3 linked regions of the Sus scrofa genome follow. The protein of the gene in region 1 purifies or fractionates together with the protein of each later gene. This does not show direct contact. Links are inferred from orthologs where the notes say so. Each region holds a gene or a part of one and is shown on either strand. Other genes may lie near its edges.

Region 1 (10,730 bases):
CGCCACGACGGGAACTCCAGGGGAGTTCTCTTCTGCTGAGAACTTTCTACCTCCTCAAGTCAGTAGGAAATGAGGCCGTCAGCTAAAAGTGAGAAGGGGGCAGGAGAGCGGCTCCGAGGACGGGGGAGCTGGGAAAAGACAGGATGAGAGTGTCGAAGGGAGGCGGTCCCAGGTCTTGCCCGGGGCTTTTGAGTTGGGTGAGGAAAGGAGAGGGGACGGATCCGCGGGTTGGAGGTCCCCTCACGGTCCAAAGGATTGTTGACAGAGGAAGTGGCGAGGAGAGGAGGGGATTGAGAGCCTTGCGGACCTGACACCACGAGGGGCGCAGGTGCTGGTGATGATGGTGCCATCTGCTGACGTGTGACAAAACCACCCCAAAACTCACGGCTTAAGGCAACATCGACTTACTTTGCGGGTTCTGCGACTGACCAGGGACCTTCCCTTCCACACGGTGTCAGCTCCCTTCACTGGGGCTCAGCTAGGAATTCGCCTGGAGCTTCTCCCTTCTCGTCTTGGTCTGCTGTCGCTGGCGGCCTAGGCATGGAGCTCCGTTCTAGGGGGCAGGTCTCGGTGGGCCTCTGCTTGAATCCCGCCTCGGGCAAGCCTGGAGATCGTGCGGGAGGCCTGGGCGGAAGAGCCTAAGTCCCGAAAGTGCAAGTCGTTGATGGGCTGCCAGTGGGACAGGCTGCCTCCTTGTCTGTCCTCTGGCCCCCCATGATTTGGGCTCCTCCCACATGAAGACCCCAGCACCACCACCTCACCAGGGCTCTAGGCTTGGAATCCAGCAGCTAGCAACATGGAACAAGGCCAGAGGCAAGTTACCTGCCCCCCCAAGACCCAACACTCCGTGGGGAAGCACAGGGTGAGCGAATAGACACACTGTGCAAGAGGGGGTCGGGGGTTGCCCTTGCAGCCGCAGGCATCCGTCACCACGGTCCTCTTATCTCCCCCCCCCCCCCCCCCCCGGGCAAGTGGTGCCCTAACCCACCGTTTGGGCTATTCTCAGCTGCTCCCGCTGCCTCCTGGCCCCATGTGCTCAGTCACCTTCCCTTTTCCATAGCAGACTGGCCATGTTGGAGCAGCTTTCTCAGCCTGCTCGCCTGTACAAAGTTGGGGGCTGAGACCTCTTTTATTTTGAACTTTGTTCTTTTTTGTTTAAGCAGATACAACCGCTTAAAGCTTTGTGGATTTTCTGTGTATCAAATTATAACTCAATTAGATAAAAGCTACCCTGCAAATATCTTGCAGCGGCCCCTCTCTCCTGTGGGGGATGAGCCTGGTGTTGTGGGACAATGACCTCAAGACACTTGGAAAACTTTCTGCATGGCCGACAGCGTCTGTGAGGGTTCCCTCCCCTGGAAACCCTTCAGAGGTCTTAACAAGGGGTCACATCCCTCGCCTTCGGATTTTTTTTTTTTTTTTTTTTTTTTGGTGGCTGCACCTGCGGCACATGGAAGTTCCTGGGCCATGGGAGTTCCCATCGTGCTCAGCAGGGACTGACTAGGATCCATGAGGACATGTGTTCGATCCCCAGCCTCGCTCAGTGGGTTAAGGATCTGGCGTTGCCATGAACTGTGGTATAGGTCACAGACGAGGTTCGGATCCCGCCACGCTGTGTCTGTGGTGTAGCAGCTTAGCTCCCATTCGAACCCTAGCCTGGGAACCTCCATATGCCTCAGGTGTGGCCCTAAAAAGACAGAAGGAGTTCCTGGGCCAGAGATTGAACTGGGGCCACTGCGGTAACCAGAGCCACCACAGGGAACTCCCTCATGGTGTCACTTCTTCCCTTGAGAACTTTTGCTGCCTGGAAAGTCTGGGATTGAGAAATAGTTTTTACTTTCCAACTGCAAGACTTAGCTTGAAATGTTCCCTCCAGCTTCTGCTGGAACATGGACCATTACTGCTTTAGTTCATTTCTCTTTATTTCACTATGGCGTAAACAACGGAAAGAAGCCGTTTGGCCCTTGAAGCTTTCCGCCTGGGAAATGAGATGATTCGATCCATTTTCTGTCTTCCACGTTACCACAGGCAATGGTCGGGCCACTTTCCTGCCAATACTCGACCTGGCTCACTGTTCTCCAGCCTTCCCCAGCGGTGTCCCCACTGCCCTGCCGGAGTCCTCCTGCTGCCGATTCCAGAGTCAGTGCAGGTTTTAGAATTTTGTTATGGCAGTGTCTCGCTTCTAAGTGTCAGGGTCTGTTCCAGGCATCTGCTGGTGCATAAAAAATGACCCGGACCTTATTAGCTTAAAACAACTGTGGGAGTTCCTGGCGTGACTCAGCAGTTAACGAACCGGACTAGCATCCAGGGGGATGAAGGTTCGATCCCTGGCCTCGCTCAGTGGGTTAAGGATCTGGCGTTGCCACGGACTGTGGTGTAGGTTGCAGATGCAGCTCGGATCCCTCGTTGCTGTGACTGTGGCATAGGCTGGTGGCTACAGCTCCAATTTGACCCCTAGCCTGGGAACCTCCATATACCGTGGGTGCAGCCCTAAGAAGACAGAAAAGATACCAAAAAAAAAAAAAAAAAAAAAAAACCCAAACCAATTGTGGATTTTCTCATGAATCCATGGTCTAGACTGGGCTCAGCTGGTACCTTCTCCTGCTGTTGGCTGCTGTGGGAAATTGTCTCAAATTGTCGCCATAGATTCCTTCCCTCCATTGGTCGTAGGACTGTTTTGACGTGTTTACTGAGGTTCTGGGACTTCTGGCCCAGGCCTGAGGACTGGAAGCTTCACCTCCCTCCCTCTTGGCGGCCTGCCCACAGGTAACAGCTCACTACCTGGAGACCCTCATGCTGTGCAGAACCCCAAGCCACACTTGCTGAGAGGGCTAATGGAAGGGACACACGACCAGCCCCCAGCCAGCCCAGCCACTCCACTCGAGCTGTCATACAAAAGCAGAAGGATGTCTTAGATGCTCTGTCGCAGTCAGATCCCACGCAGAGCACAGCCCCCTGGCTGAGTGCAGCCTCGTTTTCAGAGTAAGTAGTAAACTGGGGTGGCTTGTTACACAGCAGCAGAAGCTGAAATGGCCAGGGCCTCTACGGCTGCAGTCATCAGGATGTGCGACCAAGGAGGCAGCTCTGAGAAGGTCTCTCTCGTGTCCAGGCTCACCCTCTGTGATCTCGCCAGCGGAGCAACCCGGACCCTCAGGGAGTGAGAGCAGGGGCCGCCAGCCCTCCTTAGAGCCTGCAGCTGGTGTGGCATCTCTCTCTGGCAGCTCAGGCAAGTCAAGGGGCCGGGTCGGATTCAACGGGAGGCCGCCGTGGGGCCCGCCGGCTGAATGCGGTTGTTGGGGGACGGCATTCCCACAGACGTAGGAGGGGCTGCCAAATCCACTGGGAAGCAGGGTCCTTGGAGGACAGGAGTCATGAGAATAAGCACTCTCCTTTTTGCTTGGTCTTTTTTGGGCCGCGCCAGCGCCAAGGGGAAGTTCCCAGGCTAGGGATCAAATCAGAGCTACAGCTGCCGGCCTACACCACAGACACAGCAACATGGGATCTGAGCCAAGTCTTCCATCTACACCACAGCTCAGAGCCACGCCAGATCCTTAACCACTGAGCGAGGTCAGGGAGCAAACCTCATCCTCCTGGATACGGGTCAGGTTTTTACCTCCCTGAGCACAAGGAGGAGTCCCCCAAATCTTCAGTCTGTTGTCTCCCCCAAACCCATCTCTAGAAGTGCCAGTTCACTTGGGTGCCCAGTGGGCACTTCAGACTCTGCTGGTCATGACTTTCTCCCACTGCCAAAACAACTTGTATCCTGGCTGGTCGTCTCCGTCAAAAAAAAAAAAAAAAAAAGCCACGCTTTTCACCCAGCTGTTCTGGAAAACTGGTCACCTTGACACCCTCCTTCAAGCAATCCCATATTTAACCCACCAGTGGGCGCCGGCACCCTTCTCTAATCCTAGCTAGACTCTCCGGGGTGCCAGCGAATCGGCGCCTGGGTGTTGCGCCCCATCCTTCACCTCTCTCTCCCGCTGCTGCGGGCCAAGAGTCCCCAGCCCGGGGCACAAACCCAGCCTAGCGCTGTCTCTCAGCACCGAGACGCGGGACGGGGGAGACCCTCCCGGGGCGGAGTCTGGGAGGGGGCGTCGGCCCCGCGCGTCCGCTCGGCAGGTGAAGCCTCCGCGCTCGCTGGGGCAGCAGGGGGCGCAGGTGTGCCAGGTTCCCGCGAGCCCCGCGGGCGCTCCACCCGGGCGGCCGGGGCGGGGCGCGGGGGACGGACAGAGGCGGGGCTGGAGGGGGCGTTGCGGGACCCTGGTTGCGGCTCACCGGGCGGCCGGAGCGGGCGCGGCGGGGTGCGGGAGGTGGCGGGGTGGTGCGGGGGGACGAGGAGAGGCGGGAACGGGCCAGGGCGGGGTCGGGGCACCGACCGAGGCCGGGCGGGCAGGAGCCGGCTCGGGGCGCTGGCTGGGGAGGGCTGGGAGCTGGCCCGGAAGCGGGGGCCGGGGCCCCGGCGGGGACCGGGGTTGGGGGGTGGGGGCGGTCGGAGAGCGGGGGCCGGGCGGGGCGGGGCGGGGGCGGGGCTCGGAGCGCGGCTGCTGCGGCGGCGGCGGCGGCGGCGGCGGGGTGGGGGCGTCAGTGTGCGGCTGCCCGGCCTGGGCCGCGGCATGGGGCGGGTACAGCTTTTCGAGGTCTGCCTGAGCCACGGCCGCGTCGTCTACAGCCCTGGGGAGCCGCTGGCGGGGGCCGTGCGCGTGCGCCTGGCGGCGCCGCTGCCCTTCCGAGGTGGGCGCGGGGTCCGGGGAGGGCCGCACCTGCGGGGCGGGGCGGAGCTCCCGAGCAGCTTCGGCGCTCCGGCGCGGCTTTGGGGGCGCGGGGCCTGGGACCCGCGAGGCCTTGGGCACCGCCGACCACCCCCTCCGCCCAGTCCCGCCCGCCCGGGGCACGGGTCCTGCCGGCGGGAGGGCTGCGGGGCGGCGGGGCGGGCCGCCGACCGCCGGGGTGGGAGGCCAGCGGCGGCCGGGGCGGAGCAGGGAGGCCCGTGTGGCCCAGTCCTTCCGCATCTGCCCTTCCTGTCCTCTCTGCCTACAGGCGGCCAGAGTCGAGGCGGCGGCTTTGAGCCGGTGCACCTCGGCGAAGGCCACTCTGATCTGGACCCAGGACGCCCCCGACCGTCCCTGTAGGGTCTCCGGTCCTCTGCGGCCCTCACCTGCTGAGTGGTCCTCATCTGAAGCCTGGCCGTCCTGGGCTTGCTCTCCCACATACCCAGGGTCCTGGCTCAGGGCCTCCTTCCTGACAGCCCCGCCGAGAGTGCAGATCCCCAGGGGCACTGGCTTACACCCAGTCTAAGGCTAGTTTTAGCGGGCTGGGAGGGTCTTGCTCATCCCAGGGAGCCCAGGCCCCTGGCCCAGCAGGCATCTGGGAGCTGAACCTGAGCCCTCCTGGCCAGTCACTCTCTGCTGGCGCAGACATCTGGGGCTTTGAGACTGGGGATCCGGTTGCTGCGGTGGCACTTGCTAGGGTGCAGGTCTCGTCCGCTGTCTGAGATGTGTTTGGGAATTCACACCTTGGCCAGGAGAGGTAGAGTGCGGTGCACAAAGCCACGGCCCAGGGCCTCTCTCCGGAACTCTGGCTCCGGCTGTGAGGCTGTGTGGTGTGTCTGTCCCGGGGTGCCGCTCTGTCTTGGGGGTGCTTGGCTATAACCGCAGCTGCTGGGCCTCCCTCTGGGCCTTGGCCCCAGGCCCCTGTGTGGCTGAGGACTGAGAGCCACTGTCCTTCTCTCTGGGCAGCTGCTGCCTCCATCCTGGATGGGTTGGACCCCAGACTTTCTCACTCTTTGAGGCACCAGGGGTCTAGGAAGAAGCTGGTTGTAGGATGCCTCTTGTCAGGTGAGCAGCTGTGTGGCGCCTCCTCCCGTGACTGGTGGCCTCTCTCCTGCTCTCCATTTAGAGTTCGGGGTCTGGGTGGGGTAGGTGTGGTTGTGGGAGCGGCACAGTGGGGACAGTGCAGCTTTTCTCTGGGGCACGAGCCAGAGGTAAGAGGTGCATGTGGCTAGTAGGCTTCTGGCCTCGGGGCTGGTGCCATGCAGCCCACAGAGACCCCACCCAGAGCTCGCATCCTGGCATGCCCGCCCTGTTGCCCTCTGGTAGCTGGGGCCCAGGGCAGACAGGCCATTGCTGACCGTGGTGAAGGAGTGGCGTGAGCTGTGCATGACTACCTTCGGCTGAGCAGAGCCCCCTAGGCTCCATGTGGTGGGTGGAATGTGGCTGGATGGACAGCTGGGCCGCAGGATCGAAGGAGCCCCTTCTGATAATCCTGACTATAAAAGTGCCCGCTGAGCCCTGGGTAGGGGAGGAACAGGTCAGGTCACGGGCCAGCCTGGGAGTTGCTCAGAGCGGGTACCAAGCGGCTTGCCCTCCAGGGGCAGAGGGGGTATGGCTGCCTGGGCTGCTGGAGGGCTCCAGGCCTGCCTGGGGTGGGAAAGGAAAGCCGGGGTTCTTTGTCTTTCACTCAGAAGATACTTGTTGGGCTCCTGCTACCAGCCAGTGACACAACAGGGAGGCCCCCCAGGAGGACACAGAGGATGGGGGCACAGGCCTCTAAACGCTTGACTGAGTGATGACCTGCACTCAGCCTTGAGGATGCTGGCAGCCGTGGGAGCTGATGTGGAAGAAAGCCAGGGAAGGAGCCGTTTTCCTGGAGCCCAGGTCTCGACCAGCCTGTAGTTGGCGGTCAGGCGGGGCTGCCCTGTGTTCTGCTCCCGAGGTGGGCGACAAGGGAGGGTGAGGCCCAAACTGCAGCCCCAGCAGCCCCAGCTCTGCTAGCTCCCTGAGCTCTGGCCGTGGGCTGGGGACCAACCCACGGGTCCTCCGAGCAGGCCTGGGAGGTGGGCGTGGTCATGCCTGTCGTGTTACAGATTTGGAGACAGGACAGAGGGAAGTGGTTCGCAGGCCAGAGCTGTAGAGAAGAGATGTGTTCCAAGGCCGGGCGGCCAGGTTCGCGGGGGCTGGGGGTGGGGTGGGTGGGAGAGACCTTTGGGACCAGAACAGAAAGAGGAGCAAGCAGAGGTCTTCCCTGCTGGATTGCAGGTGGTGCATAGGGGGAGGGCTGCTGGACAGGTGAGTGTGTTGGCTCAAGAGGAAAGTTCCAGAAGTCACTGTGATGCAGAATCCCTGTGATGATTTTGGAGAACCAGAGCAGCCTCAGGCCGCCCAAGACTGATTGGTGCCTGCCTTTTGTCATGCGTCCGAGCACTGTTATAACTGAACACTTCAGGGGTTCCCGCTGTGGCTCAGTGGGTTAAGAACCTGACTGGTGGTGCAGAAGTGCGGGTGTGATCCCCAGCCTGATGCAGCGGGTTAAAGGACCCGGCATTGCCATAGCTGTGGTGTAGGTCACAGATGAAGCTCAGATCCAATCCCTGGCCCAGGAACTTGCTCTTCCCTGTGCCACACGGGACCATAAAAAAGCCCAGAGCCGTCAAACGTAGAGGGCACCATGGGGTGCCGCCCCTTTGCCAGAACACACCTGGCCCTGCCCCACCTCCAGAAGCAGCCACCCCGCACAGAGTAGGGGGGACAGGCCTGCTGTGTGTCCACCCCTGAGCCTCCGCTGTTCTCCTTTGCAGGGGAGAGGAGACAGGGCGGTTTGACCCCAAGGCAGTGGCTGGAGGCTGCTCACCCAGGCAGGGTCCCCACGTGGCCTCAGCCTGCCGGCAGCTTGTTGAGAAGCTCGCAGAGTTCAGGCCCACCTGGGATGACCAAGTGTCGACTTGTTTTTTTGGGGTCAGGTGCTCCTGTGGCTTCTTCATCTTAATCCTGGGGCCACGTCCAGGCCGAGCCGGTGACTGTTTTCGCTGCCCTGCTGTGGGACACGGGGGCTCTGCCTAGATGGTTTGCGGTTAGGGGCGGTGTTGCTGGAGGATCCTGAGGAAATAGGGGGAGATTCTGAGAACTGCTGGACCTCCTGGTGTGTGTGTAGAATTGCCTGGTTTTTCTCCGGGGCCTTCGTTGGTCTGCGCTTGGATCGCTGTGGAGGGAATCTCTGTTTTTCTACCTCCTCTGTGACACTTGTCAAAATAGTTAATAGTTGCTAAGTTATCTGCGTTTCCCCAAATCCTAGTGAGGTTACACATCTCTTCTTTTATCTGCTGCTACGTGAAGGTCACAAGTAACAAATCACCCCTAGTGTTCCATGGTGATCTGGCGTTGTCACTGCTGTGGCTCGAGTCACGGCTGCCGTGTGGTTTCAGTCCCTGGCTTGGAAACGTGTGTGTGTCTCAGGTGCAACCAAAAACAGAAAAAAAAAAAAAAAACCAAAACCAAAAAACCCTAACCTAAGTGGTTTTATCATAGCTTGTGGTGTCGTGCGTTAGGAATTTGGACAGAGGGGGTTCCGGTTGTGGCTCAGCAGTAACGAACCCGACTAGTATCCATGAGGATGAGGGTTTGATCCCTGGCCTCCCTCAGTGGGTTAAGGATCAATGCCATGAGCTCCTGTGTAGGTTGAAGACGCTGCTTGGATCCTGTGTTGCTGTGGCTGTGGTGTAGGCCAGCGGCTGCAGCTCCAATCTGACCCTTAGCCTGGGAACCGCTATGTGCCAGAGGTGTGGCCCTTAAACAACTAAAAAAAAAAAATGGGGGCAGAGGTGGGTGATTCTTGAGCTCCATGTGCCATCCACTGGGGTCCCTCAACAGTGCACAGCTGGCACCGGGCCAGTCCGGGGACCACTGTGCCTCTCCAGCATCCTCTGTCCCCAGCACTCCCAGGGCAGCCCAACCCCAGGGGGATGCGCCCTCTCCACGGGAGGTGTTGAAAGCAGGGTGGTGTCTGGCATCCACCAGCATGTCTTCTATTCGCTCTGTAGTCAGGCTTCCCCTCCTCTGCCTGTTCCCCACGTTTCTTTTGGGCTGCCTTAGTCTGTAGGAGCGCCCCAGTGTCCCAGACTTCCAGGGTGGGAACAGTTCCGGGTCTGGCTCTAGGAGGGGACGACTGATGGAAGGTGGATTAGAAATGAGGGCTGAGGCCCAGGTGGTGAGGCTGGGCTGGCCTGGAGGCTGAGGGCCGGTCACGGGCAGTGCTGATAGGCTGGAGGACGAGCCGCAGGTGCATGGCGGGTGAGCAGCAAGGTGGGGCCAGCTGGGGAGATGGCGGACAAAGTCTGTGTGGCTGACCCCTGGCCCTGGGCATTTGAAACCTCAGGTCTTCCTGCCTGGTGGGTCTGTCAGGAGGGCGTCAGATTCTGAGTCACCTTCCCTTCACCTGTCCGTCAAGTCGGGGAAGGCAGAGGAGCTGGGCAGACAGGCTAAAGCCTTTGGCCTTGACTCAGCCCTGCAGGGAGGGGAAGGATGGACAGAGCTGCAGGGCCCCCCGTTGCTGAGCTCCCGTCCCCCACCCTGCTTGTGTCTCCAGTTGTGGCGTCCTCTCTGGTGAGCAGCTGCAGCTGAGCCTGGTCCAGCCATGGCCTTCTGACCATCATGGACTCTGGGCACAGGTCTCTTGGACTGACCAGGATGCCCCTGGGCTGCCACAGTTCCTGCTTTGCGTGCTTCCTCTGGGGAGTGGGGTGTCTGCATGCAGGAATCAGCTCTCCTGGGCAGTACTGGCTCAGGAAGCCCAGGGTGCCCCCACCCTCTGGGCCAGACTGCTAGGTTCCCTACCTGCCCAGGCTGGTCTGACCACATTCTTGCAGAGTGCGCTGGTGGCCGCTAGCTTCCTGGAGCAGGAAGGAGTGCCTCTCAGCCTGACTGACTTACCTGACACCTGCAGAGCGGTTGGGGTTGGAAGTCAGCTGCCCCACAGCCTCTGCTCATCAGCGCTGCTTTCCCAAGCATCCCCTGTAGGGAGCTGACTTTTCACCGGTCCGGTAGTGTTGGGGGTTGCCCAGCGGTCATCTGGGTGATCACTGGGGCCTTCCTGTTCTGGACCACAGGCCAAGTGGAACTCCGTGCCTCCCGCCTGGGCTCCCGAGGAGCGCCCCGAGATGTGGGATAGGCAGGAGGTGTCCCTCCTTCCCAGGGCCTCGCTGGTGCCACTGCCTGGTCCCCATTGCTGCCAGTCCCGCCTGAATCTCTGTGCTGGGGCCCAGGAGGGTCCAGGCCAGCAACTGGCTGGGGCTCATGCGATTTCTTCTTGCAGCCATCCGGGTGACCTGTACAGGGTCCTGCAGGGTCTCCAACAAGGCCAATGACGCGGCGTGGGTGGCGGAGGAGGGCTACTTCAACAGCGCTCTGTCCCTGGCCGACAAGGGTGAGTTTGGGAACCTCCTTATCCCACCCAGTGATCTGCTGCGGCAGCTCTTGCTCGGGATGGGGTCTGTCTGTCTGCCCTGCCTCTCCATCTGCCTCTGGGCCCCCGTGCTGGCTCGCCCTCTGCTAGGACGGTGCACTCTGATGCTGCCTGAGAGGGGCTGGGTGCTGAAGAGGGCCAGCTCCTGGATTTGGATGGGCTCTTGCCCCCCATCCTTTGCCCAGGCCACAGCCCTGTGCTGCCAAGGTGCTGGAGACAGAGGCTGGGAGATCCGGCAGCCAGCAGCAGTGTGAGCTGGTCTGCTGTGGGCCTGCTTCCTTTCTGGGCCCTGCGATGTCACCAAGAGGCTCCTGAGGCCCCGTCTTCCCCATCCTCCTTTCTGTCTCTGCAGGGAGCCTGCCTGCTGGAGAGCACAGCTTTCCCTTCCAGTTCCTGCTTCCTGGTGAGAGCCCAGCCTGACCAGGCCTGGCCTGGTGGCGACAGCTGGCAGTGGAGCGGGGCGGGGGGGGGGCAGAGTGGGAGGTGAGGCAGGGGGC
Region 2 (10,671 bases), on another chromosome or scaffold:
CCATCATTTTCCCTTGGTTCTGCAGAGCCTCTGTTCTTGTTTTATGTGTCTACCCTCTCATGTCCTCTTCTTTGCTTGCTTCTCCACATCCGTCCTTCCATTTAGAATGCTCTTCATAATTTCTTCTTTTCTTCTAATCCAAATATATAACCTCTTCCAAAGTTTTTTTTTTTTTTTTATCTCCTTCAGCCAACCTTTTGCCTCTCTGATCCTGTTTTCTCATCTGAAAACAGATGATAGCATCTCTAAAATTTACTTCACAATATCCTGGGGTCTCACTTGAGATAGCAGATATGAAAATGATTTGGGAAATGTAAAGCATTTTATAAGTGTCATATTATTATCACTTCCTAATGTCCCATGAGCATTTATCTCTATCACATACTGGTGGGGACAAATTGTACATATACAGGAACTGTCAATAATAGATTTAATTCTTTCATATGTGAATATTTGGTCTTCTCCCCCAAAAGTCAAAGTTCCTGGAGAGTAAGGGCCAAGTTATGTGCCTTAGGAAAAGAAAAGAAAGAATTTGAAAGAAAATCTTACTCTTTTCACGGTTTAATATGCTTTGTAGCTTTGTGCCAGATGTATACTAAGAGATGCTTCATACATTTTTTTCAGGTTTCAATTAAGCTAGCAAATTCACACGTTTCCAGTATATTTTTACCTTTCCACAAAATAAATATGTTCTTTATTAGTTTTTTGATGTGGCTGCTGCTTGTCTGTCCTTGTAAAAATGAAGGCTTTACACGGTAGGGATTTGGTCTTTTGCTCTGTTGTATCCTAAATGCCTTTCACATGGGAAGTGCTCAGTAAAAATTTGTTGAATTTGTGAATGAATGAGTGAACACAGTAACAGAGAGAAAGTCACATTCCAGCCTTTAGTTCTAGCTTGAGGACCCGAGAACGGTCCTCCTCAAGCCATTATTATGGGGTTAAGGCTTGGGCTTCAGGGTAGCTATTCCTCAGTGCCTATAAAGCTCTTTTTTTTCTTTGTTTTTGGAATTGTGCTTTGAATAATTGAGGGTGCTGACAGCCTACTCTCCCAATAAAGGAGGGGAGGAGGAATCAAGGGAGTATTAAAACCAGTTCTGCTTGATATGATTAAATTAGAATGTAGTCACATAATAATAAACATGAGTGAGCACTTATTATGGCCAGACACTGTTCTAAATGCTGTACCTGTATGGATTCATTTACTTCTCTCCAAAATGCTATGAGCAGGTGTCATTATGTCCCTTTTTTACAGATGGGAAAATGGAGGTGCAGAGAGTTAAAATAAAATGTCTATAATCACAGAGCAACTTAATAGTAGACATATGACTAAAACCCAGATATCAGGCCTTGGGGTTTATTCTCTTATCCACTATTTTAACCTGTCGCTCTGATTAAATTGAGGTCATTAGAGAAATAAAACAGTTTTGGTGTATATCTGTGTTTTTCCTTTTTTTTTCTAGGGCAAAGCAGTTTTCTATTATGGCTTAAAGCTGTAAAGGTTCTGGCCTATTTCTTTCTTTCAGGGAAGTAGCTTAGTTATGTGCAGCCTGGATTTTCTATTTGACTATAGTGTGTTAAGAGTTAATTATTTATAGTGCTTGCTGAAGCTGATGTGCTGTTGGATTCACTCTGGGTTGACAGACAAAAATGGCCTGTTGAAATCCAATAAAATGAAAATTTCATGAAACCGTCAGATTAGAGGTTGACCTGAATTTTAGGCTTCATGGATTTGAAGATGTCTCATAGTTATGGATTGTATTATGATGTCAGAGTTACTATATACCACGTAAGGAAAACAAGTGCTAAATTTATGAAGAAGAATTAGTTTCTGTGTTCATTTTATTTCTGCTCTTTTTACATAGGACATCTTGCCCACCAATCGGTAATTCAAGAGGTAGTGCTAAAAATAAGAGATCAACTTCATGACAGAAATTAATTGAATCAATAGTACATTTACAAGTACTGTGACCTTTGCAATGGCAGAAGGTCCCCTTCACCCAAGTGGTTGTGAATTGGATGAGGGATGGGAGAAATTAGGTAACCCTACTCCTTTTTTCTTTCCTCAGACTTGGTAGCCAAGATTATTAAGGATAATGTAAATATTGAACCCAAGATTACTTTTTTTTTCATGGAAGTTCATGCTGACATTCCAGGACACCTTGCAGGGTGGCCATTTGAAAAGATGTAGCATATTGAAGAGACCGGCACATAATAAGGATGCAGAGTAAATGTTAAATCCATAAACCTAATAGTGAAGGCTGTCGTCCTGAAAGGGGTAGTGTGGGGGAGGGCCAGGTTCATTCCGTGTAGAGCCTGTGGCATCTGGGTGAGGGGGTGTGAATCCATGGACGTGCAGGAAAGGCACTGGCAGATGGAACCTCAGATGTGCTAGAGGAAAGTACAGAGGTCTTGGAAAGAATCTCTGTCAGAGTCTGGCAGTGAGGAAGAAAGTGGATATTTTAGGACTAGACTGAAAGTGAGCCAGCGGGGCTGGATCTAAGTTCAAACAGGCTCTGTTCCTTTAGATGGAGGCCAAGTGGGAACCAAAGGAAGTGGCTTATCATGGGTCCAAATGGTAGAAATAATGTGGACCAGTCAGAAAATCAGGAATGGCAATGAGCCGTTCCAGAAAAGGGCCTCAGGTTGCAAGCCGTGAGTATCTAGGAAATAGTCAGGAGTATCTCTTCAGAGCTTAAGGAGTATCTAGGGGAAGGATGCTGCTGTCATTGATCAGTTCATTCAGCATTTATTGATATGTACTATCTATCTACCAGGCACTGTTGGAGATACTGGGGATAGAGTAGTAAACAAAACATGCATTTGTGAAGCTTATATTCTTCTTTTTTTTTTAACTTTCAGCTTTATTGAAATGTAATTGATAATAATAAGATACTTAGGTACATCATGTTGATTTTTCTATATGTATACATTGTGAAACGGATTCCCATCTAGTTAATGAACACACCCATCACCTTATGTATTGATTTATTTATTTTGGTGACAGCATTACCTTCTACTCTCTCGGCACATTTCAATTATATGATAATGATGTTATCAACTATAGTCATTCATGTTTTACCTTAGCTCCTCAGACCTTATTCATCTTAAAATTGAGAGTTTGTAGCCTTTTACCAACCTCCGTGTTACCACCAACCCCCACTCTTCTACTCTCTGTTTCAAAGAGTTTGACTTTTTTTTTTAGCTTTCGCATGTAAGTGAGATACTACAGTATATCTCTTTCTCTGAATTATTTCACTTAGCATGATGTTTCAGTGTTCCTCCATGTTGTTGCAAATAGCAGGGTTTCCTTCTTTCTCATGGCTGAGTGATATCCCATCATGTATGTACTATGCCTTCTTTATTCAGTTATTTGCTGATGGACACTTAAGTTATCTGCATGTTTTGGCTATTATGAATAATCCTACAATGAACACGGGAGTGTACATATCTCTGTGATATCCTCTTTTCATTTCCTTTGGCTGTATACCCAGAAGTGGAATTGCTCTATCACATGGTAGTTCTATTTTTAATATTTTGAAGAACCTCTATAGTGTTTCCCATAGTAAATGCACCAATTTACATTCCCACCAACAGTGTAGGAGTGTTTCCTTTTCTCCGCATTTGTTATTTTGTGGTCTTTTTGACATCTTGACAGGTGTGAGGCAATGTCTCATTGTGTTTTTGATTTGTATTTCCCTGACGATGAGTGATACTGAGCATCTTTTCATGTGCCTGTTAGCCATCTGTATTTCTTCTCTGGAAAAATGTCTATTCAGGTCTTCTGCCTATTTTTTAAATTTGTTTTTTTAAATATTGAGTTGTATGAGTTGATTATATAGTTTGGATATTAATCGCTTATCAGTCCTATCATTTACAAATATTTTTCTCCCATTTAGTAGATTATTTTGTTTGGTCAGTGATTTCCTTTGCTCTACAAAAGCTTTTGCGTTTATATAGGTTCCATTTGTTTATTTTTACTTTTGTTTTCTTTGCTTTAGGAGACAGAGCCAAAAAAATATTGCTATATCAAAGAATGTTTGGTCTGTTTTTTTCCTATGTGTTTTATGGCTTCCTGTCTTATGTTCAAGTTTTAATCCATTTTTAGTTGATTTTTGTGTATGGTGTAAGAATGTGGTTTAGTTTCATTCTTTTACATATAGTTGCCTAATTTTTCCATCTTCATATAGTGAAGAGACTATCTTTTCCCCAAGCTTACATTCTTGTTTGGAAACCTAAACAATAACCAAACAAATATGTGTATGGTACTTTGTGGGACATCGGATTGTAGTAATTGCTTTTGAGAAAAGTAAGGCAAGGAAAGAGGGGTAGAAAATGCTTGGGTTTTACAGATTTAAATAGAATAGCAGCTGTATTTAAGTGAGGGGGTGACATCTGAGCAAACTACTGCAAAGGGATTTAGTGAGTCTTATTCCTATGTGAAGGAAACTGGGCAAGTAAACTTGTCCTCAGTGGTGTATTTTAATTGTTTTCCATGTGTCAGAATTTTCTGTCCTGCTATTTTAAAATTTAACTGCATCATCAAATAAATATGTGCGTGAGGGGAAGGAGAAGAGGCTACCATTTCTAAAGGGAAAAGGATAGACATACAAGGGATGGCAGGGAAATCCCTTCCTTAATTGCCGGGAGGAAGCCGGTGGCCAGTGAAATCGAGGGCCACAGGTGTTTGATGACCTTTAACATCATGTGACCTCAGTGTATAGAAGTGGTTTCTGACATCATCCGTTGACAGTCGAATAATAGGTTTTATTTTGACAGCAGAAGATTATGGCATGGCTAGGCTTTAACAAGCGGTCCTAATGTCCTAACGTCTTTACGTTTGGGAAGCTTAAACTTAATTCCTCACATTGTAGCACTAATGCTTTGTGCTTGTTTGTCTCTCACAGCTTTGTAGGAAGCCAACCTCAGAGACGGGATGGCTAGCTCAGCCCGGGAGCACCTGCTTTTTGTGCGGCGGCGAAATCCCCAGATGCGGTACACTCTGAGTCCAGAGAACCTCCAGAGCCTGGCTGCCCAGAGCTCCATGCCTGAGAACATGACCCTGCAGCGGGCCAACAGCGACACAGATCTGGTGACTTCTGAGAGCCGGTCCAGCCTGACTGCCAGCATGTATGAGTACACGCTGGGGCAAGCCCAGAACCTCATTATCTTCTGGGACATTAAAGAGGAGGTGGACCCGAGTGATTGGATTGGACTTTATCACATAGGTGAGTCAAACAAAATGGACTTGCTCATGACTTAGAGCATACATTTCACTCTGACATTTTCTATTCTGTGGTTTCTCCTGGGAAGGAATTCACATACATAAATTCCAGGCAGATCCTAGGAATTTTTCTTTCGTCTTGAGGGTGGGGGAGTCAACATTTATAAATACCTTTGCTGATATGAATTCTGTGGTTATATCTCTGCCTTAATTAAATGTGAGAATCTGTGATATTTTCCTTTTAAAACTTCACTTTCCCCTTAATCAATAGCCCCATTTTGGAAAGAGGTTGCTATTAACATTTACTAGTATTTTTAAACCAAGGAAAATCTTGTCTAGATTTAGATAACTGATATAAAAAAATGTTTCATATTTTCTAAATGTTGAATTTCGTTAAGAACAACTTTCAGTCTAAAGTATCTTTATTTCAAAATTGATTAATGTGTCCTGGATCAGTTAGGTGAAGAAAGTGTCACATTGTCCTAACAAATGACTTAGAAATAGGTTGCTCTTTGTTTTTTAAAATAGTGTCCCATCTCTGTTTGTTTGCATCTGTTATTCATAGGTGAGTGCCTGATGAATAGCACATCCCAGAAAATATAAAGCCTGCTTTATATGAAAGCAAAAGTCGAAACCTACTAATCTATCATAAAGAAAATCTAAACTTAACCTAGTAATAAAATCGAACACCTCTCCCCAAAATTGGAGAACTTTTTCACTGAATAAAGGGAATCCTTTTAAAAATTTAACAGATATTTTATCAGAGAGACACTGTGGCTTTCAATGTAGATTATAAATCAAGCATATTTTTGTGTGCATGTGAATAAATTTGGCAATGTCTGCAGACATTTTTGGCTGATATAACTGGGTGAGGGTAATGGATCAGGGGTACAGCTAAACATCCTGCAATGCACAGGACAGCCCCTCACAGCAAAGAATTGTCTATCCCCACATGTCAGTAGTGCCACTGTTGAGAAACCCTGGTTGAGGCAAAGTAATATCCTTGCTGAAATTTTATTAAAATGTTGAACCCATTGCCCTTTATGTTTCTCTGGACAGAGAATTTTATATTGACTAAAATAAAATTGATTTGCATTTACTTACATATTTTTTAATATTTAATCATGCTAAAAAGCAAAATGTGGCAACCAAAAAATTCAATGCATTTTTATTTTTCTATTTCTTCTTACGACAAAAAAAGGGAGGAAAAGTTTTCAGTGTTCAGCCCTTTACCCAGGTGCGTTTAAATATATATTCATAGTGAGGAAGAGACATGATTTAACAATTCTGTTTTTATATCTGATATCTATTATGTTCACAAAAGAATCTTAGTTTTGACGTGACTTAAGAAGTAACTCTTTTGGTTTTGATTTCACCCTTCTGGATTTCATAATTTTTTTTTTCAGTTTTGTCATATTTTTTCCTTTTTTTCTCATTTTAGATATTGTAATGCTTAATATAAGACTACAAATAGACTGTTTTCTTAGTGATCTTCATTTGATATTTCTTTGGGACATAATCAGTGTTATTTTCTCACATAGGATGATATCTTTTTTCTGTGGGAATCGCTTAATCTGTAAGATGCTAGAATCACTTAGGATTCCTATGTGGACAGTGACTTCTATTACTCCATACTTTTCCCCCTATCTTCCTTTCTGTTTCTCTACCCTATTGTTATATTTCCCTGTATGTACTTTTTTTTTTTTTTTTTTTGTCTTTTTGCTATTTCTTGGGCCACTCCTGCGGCATATGGAGGTTCCCAGGCTAGGGGTCTAATCGGAGCTGTAGCCGCAGGCCTACGCCAGAGCCACAGCAACTCGGGATCCGAGCCGCATCTGCAACCTACACCACAGCTCATGGCAACGCCAGATCATTAACCCACTGAGCAAGGGCAGGGACTGAACCCGCAACCTCATGGTTCCTAGTCGGATTCGTTAACCACTGCACCACGACGGGAACTCCCATTCCCTGTATGTACTTAAAAATTTTTTTTGTAGTTGATTTACATTGTTCTGCCAATTTCTGCTGTATAGCAAAGTGATCCAGTCATACATCTATACACACTCTATTTCTTATATTCCCTCTCCTCATGTTCCATTACAAGTGATTGGACATAGTTCCCTGTGCTATACAGTGGGACCTCATTGTCTATCCATTCTAACTGTAACAGTTTGTACCTACTAACCCAGATTCCCAGTCCTTCCCAATCCCCCCCCCGCTTGGCAACCGCAAGTTTGCTCTCCACATCTGGTGAGTGTGTCTGTTTCTGTGCTGTAGGTAGGTTCGTTTGCGCTGTATATTAGATTCCGAAATAAGTGATAACATCTGGTATTTGTCTTTCTCTTTTTGACTTAACTTCACTTAGTATGAGATCCCTGACTATATTTAACTAAGAAGGAACTAAGGAATCCAAAGCCAAATTTATCTTATTCCCGAGTAGCCAAAGTCACAAAATCTTGGTGTTCTTATTTTTCACTTTCTAGAGTATAGATCAGAATACTACATCTGGAATTAACTAAGGATATAGGTAGGAAAATAGTATTAGGAAATAAATCTCTTTTGAAAGTGCTATTCTTTAGTTTATTTCAGTTTCTAAGTCTTTACTATATATTCTCATTGTGTTTTTGCTTTCCTGTGTGTAATCTATCTCTTTTTTCCCTCTTGGCTACTTTGAACATTTTTTCTTTATCTTGGTTTATCTTTCAGCAGTTTGTCAATGATATATCTAGCTGTGTTTTTATTTAACCTGCTTGTAATTCTTTGAGTTTTTTTTTTTTTTTTTTTTTTGCTTTTTAGGGCTGCACCCGTGGCATGTGGAGGTGCCCAGGCTATGGGTTGAATCAGAGCTATAGCTGCTGGCCTATGCCACAGCCACAGCAACACAGGATCTGAACCGCATCTGTGACCTACACCACAGCTCTTGGCAACGCTGGATATTTAACTCACTGAGTGAGGCCAGGGATCGAACCCACAAACTCATGGTTCCTAGTCAGATTCATTTCTGTTGTGCCATGACAGGAACTCTTTCTTTGAGTGTGTTAAATAAGCTTTTAATGAAAGTTGTGAAAATTTTGAGCTTTTAATGAAAGTTGTGAAAATTTTGAGCTTTTAATGAAAGTTGTGAAAATTTTGGCCGTTATTTTTTTCAGGTTTTTTTCTATTTTTACCTTTTTTTTTCCTGAGACTTTAGTTACACATATGTTACATCATTTCATGTTGTTTTGTGAGGCCCCAAGGCTCTTAATTTTTCTTCAATCTCTTTGCTATTCAGATTAATCATTTCTTTTTACCTGTCTTCAAGTTCACTAACTTTTTCTATTTTTATCTTCATTCTCCTGTCAGTCCCATCCAATGACTTGTAAAATTTGAGATATTTGACTTTTTATTGATAGAATTTGCATTTCTCTTTTTATGGTTTTAATTTCTCTTATGAGAGTCCCTATATCTTAACTCTATCAGACCATATTTTTGTTCAGTTCTTTTAATTCATTTGAATACAGCTGTTTTAAATTATCTGCTAAAGCCAGTATCTGGAGGATGAGGGCATCTGAGGGTCAGTTTTTATTGTCTATTTTTCTCTTGACCATAAGTCCCATTTTCTTATTTCTTTGTGTATCTAGCAATTTTTTATTTTACACTGGACATTGAAGAGTCTATATTGTAGAAATCCTGAGTTCCATAGGATAATTTTTATTTTAATGTTAATTTTATTCTAGTCGGCAGGCTTATTTCCTTGAGCTTACTAGTTGTGATTTAATGCTTTGTTAGAATGGATCTATGGAAAGCCCAGTGTAGTAACCCAGCACTTCTAACTTGATGAAATTTGGCCTCCACGTTTGGTCTCCTCTGTGGATTTTGTTATGGTTTGGTTTGGAGATTTGTTAGAGTCTATGGTGGGCTTTACTATAGGACTTTGCACTTATTCCTAAGTAGTGGCATTTCTGATGTCTTAGCTGGATGCCTGGAATGTTAACCATTCTGTTTGGCTGGGCTGTAACTTCAGTGTTCTCCAGCATTGCTTAACCTCTTTAACTGTAGCATTCTCAGCCCTGTAGCAGCTGCTCTCTGGAAAGCCTTGGTAGTCTCACCTTACACATGTGCAGCAGAGACCTTGGCCAAAGGCTTGTGGGGGACCCCCATGTGGACTTTTGGCCCTTGTACCTCCATAGCTCTTTCCTTTCCAGTGCCTTGCCTGGAGATTGTAGCCACTTCAGTTGACCCAAACTCCATTTGTTGCCTCTTCAGCTCTTGCTAACTTACATGGCCTCTAACTCTGTGTACTGCACTCAAAAAAATTGTCCCCTGGCAGAGATCTGTGTGGTCATAGAAATACCTTATCACTTTACCTTCTCTCTGGGATTTTATTCTTATGCCACCTATTCTGTAATGTCTGAAAACCACTGCCCTTTAGTTTTACAGTTGTTTCCTTAGGAAGATGAGTCTGGAACTAATTACTACAATATGGCCTGGAGCAGAAGTTTCTCCTCTGCTTTTGATTTAGGGTAGGCATTAAGAGGTTCCACTTAATTTTCCCATCTACACATTTCCAGAGAACTCTGAGTAATTAATAAGTGATTGTTTGAGTTCCAGCCATTTGTCTTCTTCATGGTGTATTTTCTTATAGTCTGTAGCATGGAAGAGGTATGAGGAGTTGGCACCCTCAGATCTCTTAAAGGACTAGGATGAATGCAGAGACTAGCATTTGGAAATAAAAATACCATGAAAGTTGAATGAGGTACGTGGTGTTTTCAGGCATGCTGTTGGTTTTAGCAGGTCTTCTGCATTAAAAGGCACAGGTCCTAAAATCTAGAACATGAAGTATGGCTCAGTTATATAGTTGCAGAGCCACAGCTGTGTTTAAAAGAAAGCTTAGCTTCTTTGGGACCTCAAAATGAGTGACAGAGACCTGGCTTTAAGCAGAGATAGCTATTTTTCTCCTGGGGCAAGAAAGGACTGTTCTGACCTCTGGACTGGAGGCAGTCTCACTTCTGTGGGGACTTGCTATCCCATGTGATGAGAGAGGCCTGGCAGCACTCTGGTCTTTAACTGACATGCATCCCTGATCCCTTTTTCCTTATGGAACTAGGGGATGGGCCGCAAGCCCTTGGACTCAGGGCAGGTTGGACCCCTCCAGGCTCAGGAAAGGTCTAAACCTATGTGGTAATCCAACTAGTAAGTAAGTAGTCTAGGTGTGCCCATGTCACTCAGTTCTGGCCAGTGATATGTAAAGGAAAGACTTTGGAGGAACTTCCTTTTCCAGTGAAAAGCTGGAGCCTCATGAAGAGAATCTTTAAACCTCCCTTCCTCTTGCATTTGGGACTCTGGTGAAAGGATGTGCTATCTTTAGTCGTTGCATCCATGTAGCAACCATAATTTATCAATCAAGAAGGTTAAAAGCCAAGAATGACAGAGCAGAAAGCTGGAAAGAGCTTGGGCTGGCACTCTAAAGT
Region 3 (10,857 bases), on another chromosome or scaffold:
ATACTTGCTTAGCTATAGGAAAACAAATAAAAAATATTAGCAATAAGCCTATATATTTATGTCTGTATGTTTCACTTTTCTAAATTTTACATGCATGATTTCATTAAAGATTTGTTTCCATAATTTTATCTTAATTCATCTGTCTCCATGTTCATATATATATAAACATTAAAATATTTATTCCATATTGGGGGCACTTATTGACGATGCATGTTTTCTAAGTTCCATTTTTCTCTGTCCTTCACTCTTATTTGTGGATTACTATTCTTTTTCCCTCCCCACCTTTGGAGGGTAAACAGCCCAACACTGTGATAAGCAGTTCCTGGAGAGCATGACGGCTTTTAAAAAATGGTTTACTCTCCTGCTGTCTTGCAGACGCCCTGGTTCTGCAGCCAGGTCATTTTTTGTCAGGAACAGTTATGTAGAGTGTCTTCCACCTGGCGTTCTGACCGGCATTAAAAATCAGTTTTGCAAACAGGAGCCGGTATTTTGATTAGTGGGGAGGATTCCTGGGAAGGACGGAGGCCATTGTTCCCTGTTGGGCGCTGTCACCGGGTTCAGTTTTCAGCGGGGCCTTGCAGGGAAGGCAGCCGGGGACCTGGTTGCCTGCTGGACGCGGAGGGAGCAGAGAACCAAAGCCACCCAGGCCCGGCGGGGACACTGAAATGTGTTTCCTTCCGAGCGGAGGCCCTCCCCCATCCTCTCCATCGTAGGGGTGCCGCTCCGTGGCTGGGGCTGCGCTGTCTGCCTTGCTCGGCAGCCAGCCTTCTGGTTAGTATTTCTGGGCTGCGCTTGGGTTTAAGAACTGTTTTCATCGTTCTCTCCTCGATCTCTCCTTGTGGCCGGATGCCTGGTCCTTCATGCGTTTTGTGGTCTCAGGTGGCTGTTTCCTTCCCTCGCCTGTTCTTTGCCTCTACCCCTCTGCTGGTCCCTGGACCGCTACAGCCCTGGGCAGGCGGTGGTCTGGCACCCCCCACCCACCCCGCCGCCCCTCTTCCTCCTCCTCCCCCCACCCCTCACTCATTACCATCCCCGGTTTCATTCGGAGCTAGAAATACGAAACCCTTTTATTTAAGGTTGGGGTCACCCTTGAGTTGTGGGTGGGGAAAGTGCTGATTGTTTTTAAAATGCTAGTTCAATGTCATACAAATTCTGTGTTTATTTTTTTATGGTGCTTTGTATTATTATTTTGCTATAATTTTTAAAAGAAATAGATTGATAACATAATATTCTAACTAAAAAATATCTGTTGTCATCGGTGAGGTCATGATATTTGGGTCTCAGATTTTTACATATAGTTTTGAGAGTGTGAGATGTGTTTAAGAGTATTATGCATGTTCAAATGCACACACATGTGTATATGTATTTTTCTGTAGTATGTTTCATCTTAGTTTCAAAGAATGTTTGACAGTCCATGTCTTACCCAAGCCGAGGATGAAAGTATCTTTTCCTTGTCCTTGTGAGATGTATATTTAAATAGATTGATATGGAGATGGATGGATGGGTGGATGGATGAATGGAGAGGAAGATTGAAGGCTAGCTAGCTGAATATTTTTAAAGCTGGTTATTCTGGGGGAAAAATGGACTTTTGGTTTATAACTGGCAGAGTTTTTTCATGTTACATAAGCTGATCAATATTGTTCTTTATAAAGTATTCTACAGATTTCAGTATGTATATAAATAGTGAACACTCTGACCCTCTGTCACCTGCTTCATTGCTGTCCAGAAAAGATTTGTAGTTTGGCTGAGGGAAGTAAACAAAGTTCATTTCCTTCTTGATAGAATAATCATATCAATGTTAATTTCTTGAAGAATATCTTTATGTTTTCATGATGATGGCTCTTTATAGGTCCCCAACATTATTCCTTCTGGTTGATAGGAAAGTTATGGTTTTCTTATCTATGAATCATCTGTTTCATAAATGTATCCCTTCCCCATCTAGTTTGGTTTATAGAATAGTCTCAAATAATTGAATAAATGCTTCTTTTATTGCCATTTTGAAAATCTCGGCTATTTTTTCAGTGGAAAAAAAAGTTTAAGCAAATATGTGGACTGCATTGTACTAGGAACTGTTAATGTTTCAAAGACTGTAAAAGAAATTACAAGATGATTTCTCTTCCAGACGCTGAACCCAAAGTGGAATGAAGAATTTTATTTTAGAGTAAGTTTTTCTTTTTCTTTTTTTTTTTGACGATTGTTATTGAGAATAACCATATTGATATATTATCACAACAGACTCCTAAGAGTGAAATCCATTACTTTTTTATTATGAAATTCCTTTTAATACAAGAAATAATTGGTTAGCTTCCTGATGTGTCCCATGTTTTCAAAGACTGTGACTAGTGGTAGCAAAATCTGGACTTATTTCACTGGGGGATGTTTAAGGGAAACAAAAAGAAGTTTATCCAAATATGATATTTTAGCTTTTCTATTCAAATTTTTCTTTTAAAAAAAAGATAAAATATAACTAAAACAGTAGCTTAATTATTTCGGTAAGACATGAGCCCAAAAGAAGCAACATGATTAAAAAGATTAAAAATTACCAATCATATTCCAGTTGGTAAGGAAAATTTTTATAATTCAGACATTCAGTATGAGTGTATGTGTGTAATATAAAACCACCTCTGGAGTTTAAGTATCACCAAATCGAGTAAAATTTCCTCAACCTTTTATATTTAATATCTAGAAGAGCTATATGTAGATATGACAATTCTGTGAATTAATGGAGATTACTGTTTAATGAGATTTTGTGGTTGTTGCCCTTTTTTTGTACTGAAATTTTGAAAATATGAAACTGCTCATCTATATAACGGGAAAAAAAAGAATTTTTTCCTCTTCAGAATGAATTAATTTTAATCATCTGTATAGCTGTGATATTAAAAAACATTTACCTCCAGAAATGCTCTAGATAAGATCTTCTGATTAGTGTAGATTCCCAAAGAAGTGATTTCTTCCTTTCAAACACAATAGCATTTTATGTACCTCGACTTAGATCACTATATAGGACATTTGTTTTCTGTTATGTTTAGAGCTAAAATATGGCATTGATATTTTAATATTTGGTGAAAGTCTACATGTAACCTCTACCAGATGTATTTTAAATTATTTTCTGAAGGACTGAAAAAGTAATGGGGCCAGCTAGATGTTATTGGCCTTTCGCTAACCCTCAGATACAGCTTTCCACTTGTAATAATCCAAGCTGCTTAGACTTCTTTCATTTTAACACCATGGCCACATTTCTGTAAATTTTAATGCATTCAGGTTTTTTTTTCCTTCAACTTTCACATTAGCTCTAAACATAAACTTATTTACTTATTTTTTTTTTTGCCTTTTAAAAAGCATTTTTGCTGTATTCATCACACAAATCTTTACTGAGTGCCTACTGTGTGCCAGCTCCTGCATGGCCTGTGGATGCACTGATCAGCAGCACAGCCCTTCACTGAGCTTACAAACAGACACCAGCCTCCACCGTCCACCTGCTCGCTCTATCACTAGGCTGAGAGCAACCCAAGGGGTCAGAAGCACAAGTTGTGTTCTCTGTACCTCATTCCATTTTCCATTGTGAAGCAGCCTGGGCTTAGTGGACCTGGGACCCTTCTCTAGCCTTAGCACTTAGAACCATTCTGACCCTGGAGAAGCTACCTGAGGACTCACACTCCCCTCTGGCTCCTTATCTCCCACTAGAAGAGAAGAATCTTCACTTGATAGGCTTGTTTCTAGGATTTATGTGCATTAATAGAAATGACAACACTTCCCACAACATCTCACACATGTGGTTGGTCCTTAACGAAATGACACTTGAGTGTGAATGATGATTCCTGCTATTTCAGTGAAGTCTGGGTGAAGAGACAGAAAGAAGCAAAAAGACATCACCTAGAATTCCCGTTGTGGCTCAGCAGTAATGAACCCGACTGATATCCATGAGGACACGGGTTCAGTCCCTGGCCTTGCTCAGTGGGTTAAGAATCTGGCATTGCTGTGAGCTGTGGTGTAGGCTGGCAGATACAGCTCTGATTGGACCCCTAGCCTGGGAACTTCCATATGCTGCAGGTGCAGCCCGAAAAAGACAAACAAAAACAAAAGCAAAAACCAGACATGGCCTAGTGGCTCTGACACTGACCCCGCAGTTGCTGGAAACAGAACCATCTTTTATTTCCTTGTCTCTTTAATGGTCCGGAGAGTGGGCTTTGGAGACGAGCAGGCTAGACCTGATGGGGATCCTGGTTGCCCTGCATACCAGCTATGGGCTCTGGGGCAAGTTAGTTAACCCTTCTGGTCTCGGCTTCTCATTTGTAAAAATCGGGGTGACAATTATACATCATAGGGTTGCTTTGAGAATAAATGAGATGATGTATTTTTGATATTTAATAAGAAGATAGTGCCTAAAAAGGAAACATGCAATAGGAATGTTTTGTTTTGCTTTTTTTAACTATTTACATGCTTTTACTGTTTTATTCTTTTTTTTTTTTTATCATTGCTGTTATTTTTAGGCCTTAGAGGTTTCCTCGGACATAGACCTTTGTGAGGATGTAGCCTTGATCTACAGGCATGAGGATGCCTTTTTAGCGGAGACTTAGGAACTTTTAAAAATAAAAGTTTATCTAGAAAAATAAATTTAAAAGAAACTGTTTAGAAATATCCTTTCTCGCATTAGAAAAGTGACTTAAACCATTTTCTCCTTCTTATAGGCCTAAATATTAGGTGTAAAATAATATAGCGATCAATCATAGAAAACTTGATTTAGTATATAGAGGATTTTCATAAGAGCAGATTGCTTATATTGTACAACTGATTTGAGTGCATTAAAAAGCATTTTATTCTTTCAGTCTCTTTTTTCATTCGTTGAATTATTTCTGCTCATTTTAAAAGTATTATCTGGGAGTTCCCTGGTGGCTCAGTGAGTTAAGGATCCAGCATTGTCACTGCTGTGGCTCAGGTCCAGTCCCTGGCCCCAGAACTTCCACATGCCTCAGAATAAATCAATAGTAACAATTATTATTTTTGTCCCTTACAGGTAAACCCATCTAATCACAGACTCTTGTTTGAAGTATTTGATGAAAATAGATTGGTAAGTGGTTCCTGATTTTTAATTTTTGCTTCATTTTTTAAAAATTGAATTTTCAGCACATCTTTAAAAAGTCTATATGTGTTTTATTTCTCACAGCATACATGTCCCTCAAAAAGACTATTTTTGTCCCATTACTAGTTTAATGTTCGTAATTCAAACAAATATTTTTGTGTGGGTAGGACAAAATTTATTTGTACCTGTGTAAGTTTTTAATCATAGTTAATATTCATGACCATCACACTGGTGGTATATCAAGCCATATATGCTTATACTCCTCTGTTGGGGATACAAAGAGGTGGGCAAATCTCATTACTCATGGAAATAAACCTTTCAGGATTTTTATATGTAAGCCAGACTTTGAGACTGTGACACGTTCAATAGTGAATCTCTTTGGGATGACAGAAATCTAATTAACAGTATATAGCAAAAAGTGAATCTATATTTAGCAGGTAAAATTAAGCTGTATTTTAAAAGCGGTGCTTTCTCAAGGGAAATTCAAAGAAAGTACCTTCAAAGAACCAGAGGTATGCCTAAGGCATAAAACTAGTACTAATATGTTGTATAGATTATAGGTTAAAAATACTTATATATGGTTGCCTGCATGAGGCAAATTCAAGTTTTGCTTTTTGGAACTTTCTGGAATTTTTTTTCTAGATATTTTTGATTTGCAGTTGGTTGAAACCGTGAATACAGAACCTGCAGATGTGGGGGGGGGAGTCCAACCATGTATTAATTGCTTAAAGGAAATGTTATTATGAATCCTTCCTTCTGCAGAAGTCACCTGAAACTCCAAGTTTTTGAATAGCTTGAGTTTAATAGAATATTTGATCTGGAGGAGGCTTATAATACAACTCATTTAATTCCCTGTCCTTGCATGTGAGAGAACTGAGATCTAGAGCCTTGATGTAATTACATACCTGCCCGTCTATTAAGTCTCAGGCCATTGGTGGTGAATAGCCAGGCCTTAACCCTTAGTATTGAACCTAGGAGTATATTTGATCTCCTATGCCTGGAATTATTCTCCAAATTAGAAAGCAACAGATGCTGGCCTACCATCCTGATATATTTTCTATTCAAATATACGGATTCTCGGCGGCTTTGCATTGAACTTGACATTTTATACCTTGGGTGATGCTTAGTAGTACTGAATAGCTAAATCAGTTTTGCCCGGTGCACGAAGTTATTTTGCTGTTAAATCAAATGAGAAATTCTGCTTGAGGGTGTAGTTCTTGGTGCTCCATCTCCTGTCCAGAAACACCGATTGGGCAGAGTTCAGCAGAGTCCCAGAGTCCACAGATGGAGCCACAGATTAATCCTTACTCTCTCTTTTATTGTGTCTTACAACATTTCTTCAAGGTGAAGAAATGGTCAGCTTTGTGGAAAAAACTGTCTCTTGTCAGATGTGTTTTAACTCATTTAACTCTTCTATTGAAAGAAATTCTCTGTAAAAAATGTTTCCCATTTCCCTTATCTAAAAGAATCACTGTTGTTGAGAGGACCTTGCCATGAGCCTAAAACTTATACTTCCAAGCCGAATAGGGCTTTGAATGCAGAGCTCTAAGAAATCTCATGTGAAACTTTATCTGAAAAACTGTTTTATGTACCTAGCTTTGCCCCAGGCTGTCTGCATCCTTGTTACTATGCGTGAATGCTGCTGCTGGTGGTTTTTTCTTTGTTGGCTATTAATCCAGCAGAGACACTACGTGACTATAGTGGTACTTGGCAGTTTTCACATTAAACAAACTAGCTTCCATTTCTCTCATAGAGATCATTTTTGGCATTTAAAACACATGCCTTTAGAAAACAGGTTTGGATGTATATAAACACAAGGTTAATCCTCCACACTCTGGACTCCAGAGCTGTTGACAAAGTCAACATATATTAAAATAAACTTTTTGTCACTTTTTGCAGCTTGGTATTCCCACATCCCTTCCCTTCTTACTTCCTCCGAAATAAGCCTCTTTGTTAATAACTCGTGTTTCAGGACAATGAAAAAGAGTATGTTTAAAACACTCAGAATATATCCAAGTTAGCTACAAATCCGATGACAGCTTTTTGAACGTGGACTTTCACTTTTATTACTTAGGTCTTTTTTGACCCTTCACAAAAATGTCAAGATTCTATGTTTCCCAACTGGGCTGATATTGCTGGCTTCTTACTGGAAAACAGTCAGCCAGCTCCAGTCAGCCTTTTTTTCCTGCATGGTATTGAAATTAACTTATTACAGAAACCACATGCATACCCTTTAATTTTCCTTCTCCTTTTTTTTGGGGCGGGGGTATTGTTTTCTCTCCTATCTGGCATATGGGAGAGAATGTTTTCTCCAGCTGGGTTCTTTTTCTCTGGTCACTAACATGTCCGAGAATCCTATTATGTGTGAGATGGTGTGCCGCCAGCACCTCCCTCCCCCATCGTTTAAATGAAAAACGTCGTAACCAGAGGCAGACCACTGCTGGGGAGTGTTGTAAGCGGTGCCCCTTTCCACTTAGCTATTTTGTTACTTGTAGGTCATGGTCTAATTATTTAGCATTAAATGGCGGGGTGTGTAATCGTATTTATAGTACGTTTTATTAGTTTGCATTCCATCATGGTAGTGTGGTGATATCATAAATAACAGGGCAACATAACATCCGATTGCTGGAGAAAGGGTTTTCCTGCAGCCCCGGCATTTTTACTCAACAACGTTTGGTTTCGTGGGAAAGGTGGTGGGGTAGGTGGGGGAATACTATGGGCGCTTTTCTGTGTTAGGAGCCGGGTCTCTCTCCTGCATTGGTTGGAGAGTCCCGGGGCCCTGCTTGGTTCAGAAAGAAGTGTCCTGTGAGCGCCAATGCGGTTAGATTTATAGCAGCATGGCTCGGAGTGTGTTTGCTGCCTTAGTCAGCTGTGAGAGCTCCCTGCTGGGGCCACTCCTGTCTGATGGAAAAGCAGCAGCTGGGAAGGTGCTGTTTCAGGCTCTTGCTGTTTAAAAAAAAAAAAAAAAAAAAAGAGGGAGAGAGAGCGCGCGCGAGAGGGGGGAAAACTCCTCTAAGTCCACAAGCTGGCATTGGAGGGGGAGACAGCGGTCATGTGGTTCTGGCTATCCTACCCTCTGTCACAGTGCGGATGAGAGCTTTTTGCTCTTATCCAATCATGCCTGGAATGCCGCTTGCCACTTGGGTTATTTCTGCTATCTGTCGCTCTTAGTGCCGCAGTGCTAAAGGTTTGGCAGATGGGACACTTTTTCTTGGAGTTTGTGTCTTTGGTTTTTGACTTCTGGCAGCGCCGGGCTTGTTGTTGCCGCTCGCCCTCTCCCTCCCTGGCCCTCTGGGCACCATGGCCCATCGGCTTCGGTTTCATTTTGGCTCTGGTCGCAGCAACACAGCCCCCGAATCAGAGATCCTAGACCAGGAGAGAGAAGACGACTTTTTCATGGCATTCCACACGCTCCCGCGGAGGAGCGGCCCTCACCCCTTTGCCTCTCATGGAGCGGAGGATGGCGGAGGTGGCCTGCAGGCAGGCGTGGGCGCGCTGAAGCGCAGCTCGTCCATGTTCATCCCCCAGCTCCTGAGCCCCGTTGACACGCGGCCCACCCGGAGTTCATCCGTGCAGATCTCGCTGCAGCGCAAAGCTGCCGACGGGGCCCCCGACGGGTGCGGGCCCCCCGAGGGCCTGGACGGCGACGCGGGCTCAGTGCCTCGGAGCGGCTGCTCTGAGACCCCGGAGCCCAAGAGCCTCGAGAATCCCTCTCCCGGGGCCGCCAGGGCTCCAGGCCCGCAGGTCAACGGCACGTGTGGCCGACGAGCACCCGGCCTCACAGCCCCCGATGGCCGCGAGGAGGCCAAGCCTTCGATCGCCCAGGGGCCCGAGGGCAGCGGAGGACTCCGCATCCAGCACCGCGCCTCCAGCGCGGATGTGCGCCAGGTGAGGCTGACGCCTTTCGGGGCTGACGGCCCAAGCAGCTCGTCGGCGCAGGAGCCCAGGCGCTGGTCCCTGCAGCACGTTCCAGATGCTTCTGGAAGTTCTGGGAAGCGGTGTTTTGTCTTCCAGTTGCAGCAGCCGCAACCCGGTGTGCCAGGGCTGGGTGGTGACTTCAACTTCGGGTTCACCGGCACCAAGGGGGACAGGTTGGTGAGGTATCCCCGCATCCGGCTAGAGAGGAGCACCTCGTACCCCACGCAGCCCCGAGCAGAGCGCGGGAGCCCCACAGAAGAGCACGGCCATCCGGAGACACCACCCCGGGGCCGCAGGGTGGCTCCCGAAATCCACAGGACCAACTCCGTGGAAAGGACGCCGCAGGGTCAGGGCTGCACGTTTAAGATCAGGCAAGATCAAAATGCGGGGCAGCAGCATTTCAGAATTCTTGTGACTCGGGGGCCAGAGGAAGCTCCTCAGAATCCCGAGGAGAATAACGCCTCCTGCCCTGGTTCCTCAGGAGCCAGCGCCCCGGTAAGTTAGTGTGCGTTTCCCTGCAGTGGCCTGTCGGCAGGGACTGATTCAAGTTCAGCCGACTGATTCTGCAGCATAATTAAAATAAACTCCATCCGCCTCCCTTCTGGGAGTTTCCTTGCTTCTGGCCAGAGTAACTTAATGTTTGGCCGAGTTCTGGGACCATGATTTGTGGTCCAGCCTTTGGTAGAGGTCCATGAAACTAGTTAGCATTTCAGAAAATATCATTTCCTTAGGTCCTCAAAGTCAGACAGCTCTGTTTTGAAAACCCAGACACAACCCCTTCTGCTCTTTTCCTCCCTTCTGAATAAAAGAATTTTTAAAACATATCACTTTTTAAGTGAAACTGCAGGGCCCCAACATGTTGATGTTGGAAGTGCATTTAAAAGCTGCTTGCATATGAAGCCTCTGACAACACTTGCTTTTTAAAAATTATCAGTTCTAATAGAGAGAGAAAATTTTGTGTTAAACTTATCTAGTCGCTTAATAATTAAGGGTATGCGAAGTTTGACCAGTTCTTCCTAATGGCCTTTTAGCTGTGGAGGGCTGTCCCTTGTTATGTAAGTTATGGTCTTTGTTGTTGTTGTTATTTTGTCCCATTAAGTAATACTGAACAAGGGGAGTCACATTTGTGGGACAGGAGGAAATGTGTTTTTCAAGCAGTTTGGCTTATGGGCCCAGGCAGGGCGAAACTGATTTGGGAACTTGTTAATGGTCAGATTGCACAGTCCTGCAATTTAACACGGCCCACTTGAGTGTCTAAGCGGGGCTGCTGTATATAGAATAGTAAGTGCCCTGTCTCCAGCTGTGGAATCAGACGCCCTGCAACAGATTTTGGCCTTTATTGCTCCTGTGTTCTTGCTCTCTCCCTTTCAGTGAAATGGAGTACAGAAAGACAGCTGCTAACTCCAGCAGGCAAATGATGACTCTGCAGCTTTCATAGTTTGTCATGGGATGAAAAGTTCCATCGGTTAGCTTTTTTTTTTTTTTTTTTTTTTTTTTTTTTACTAATAATCCCTAGGCACTAGGCTCTGAGTGCTTTATTTTTAAAGGACAGGCTCCTTGTGTTTTGAATGGGTTTTTTTCCTTGAATTCCCTGTGATTGCTGGTTTGAGGCTATGACAGTGAAATGTCTAGGAGACTTTTTGTTTGGGTTTTAGTTACCAGTTGTGACTTTTCAAAGTGGTTGGCTGAGTATGATTGTGGGATTATAGTGTCTTTTATTATTTTGTGTTGAGGAATATTTTTGGCCACTTGAGTAAAACTTCATCAGTGCTCCATCGTTGGTTTTCACCATTTTGAAGGTGAAATCAGATGCTAAATTGCAAACATTACATTTTTCTAACTATTTCTTATTCTTTTCC

What was found.
Region 2: the proteins of ARRDC1 (region 1) and HECW2 purify together in Homo sapiens (affinity purification with mass spectrometry; 3 studies listed by BioGRID and IntAct, counting the BioPlex papers as one, with this or other methods). This does not show direct contact. The link is inferred for Sus scrofa from reciprocal best matches to the Homo sapiens genes ARRDC1 and HECW2.
Region 3: the proteins of ARRDC1 (region 1) and NEDD4L purify together in Homo sapiens (affinity purification with mass spectrometry; 3 studies listed by BioGRID and IntAct, counting the BioPlex papers as one, with this or other methods). This does not show direct contact. The link is inferred for Sus scrofa from reciprocal best matches to the Homo sapiens genes ARRDC1 and NEDD4L.

Annotation. Positions count from the first base shown.
Region 1 is NW_018084833.1:395,034-405,763, reverse strand, and holds the start of ARRDC1 (arrestin domain-containing protein 1), read left to right. Parts: upstream 1-4,540; 5' UTR 4,541-4,613; coding exon 4,614-4,731; intron 4,732-4,766; exon of another isoform or gene 4,767-5,735; coding exon 5,736-5,834; intron 5,835-8,449; exon of another isoform or gene 8,450-8,551; intron 8,552-8,559; exon of another isoform or gene 8,560-9,055; coding exon of another isoform or gene 9,056-9,062; intron 9,063-9,072; exon of another isoform or gene 9,073-9,357; coding exon of another isoform or gene 9,358-9,374; exon of another isoform or gene 9,375-9,439; intron 9,440-10,083; coding exon 10,084-10,194; intron 10,195-10,585; coding exon 10,586-10,636; intron 10,637-10,730. UniProt on the Homo sapiens protein: Functions as an adapter recruiting ubiquitin-protein ligases to their specific substrates. Through an ubiquitination-dependent mechanism plays for instance a role in the incorporation of SLC11A2 into extracellular vesicles.
Region 2 is NC_010457.5:100,335,914-100,346,584, reverse strand, and holds the start of HECW2 (E3 ubiquitin-protein ligase HECW2), read left to right. Parts: upstream 1-4,931; 5' UTR 4,932-4,933; coding exon 4,934-5,225; intron 5,226-10,671. UniProt on the Homo sapiens protein: E3 ubiquitin-protein ligase that mediates ubiquitination of TP73. Acts to stabilize TP73 and enhance activation of transcription by TP73. Involved in the regulation of mitotic metaphase/anaphase transition.
Region 3 is NC_010443.5:162,511,080-162,521,936, reverse strand, and holds the start of NEDD4L (E3 ubiquitin-protein ligase NEDD4-like), read left to right. Parts: upstream 1-5,117; 5' UTR 5,118-8,380; coding exon 8,381-9,493; intron 9,494-10,857. UniProt on the Homo sapiens protein: E3 ubiquitin-protein ligase that mediates the polyubiquitination of lysine and cysteine residues on target proteins and is thereby implicated in the regulation of various signaling pathways including autophagy, innate immunity or DNA repair.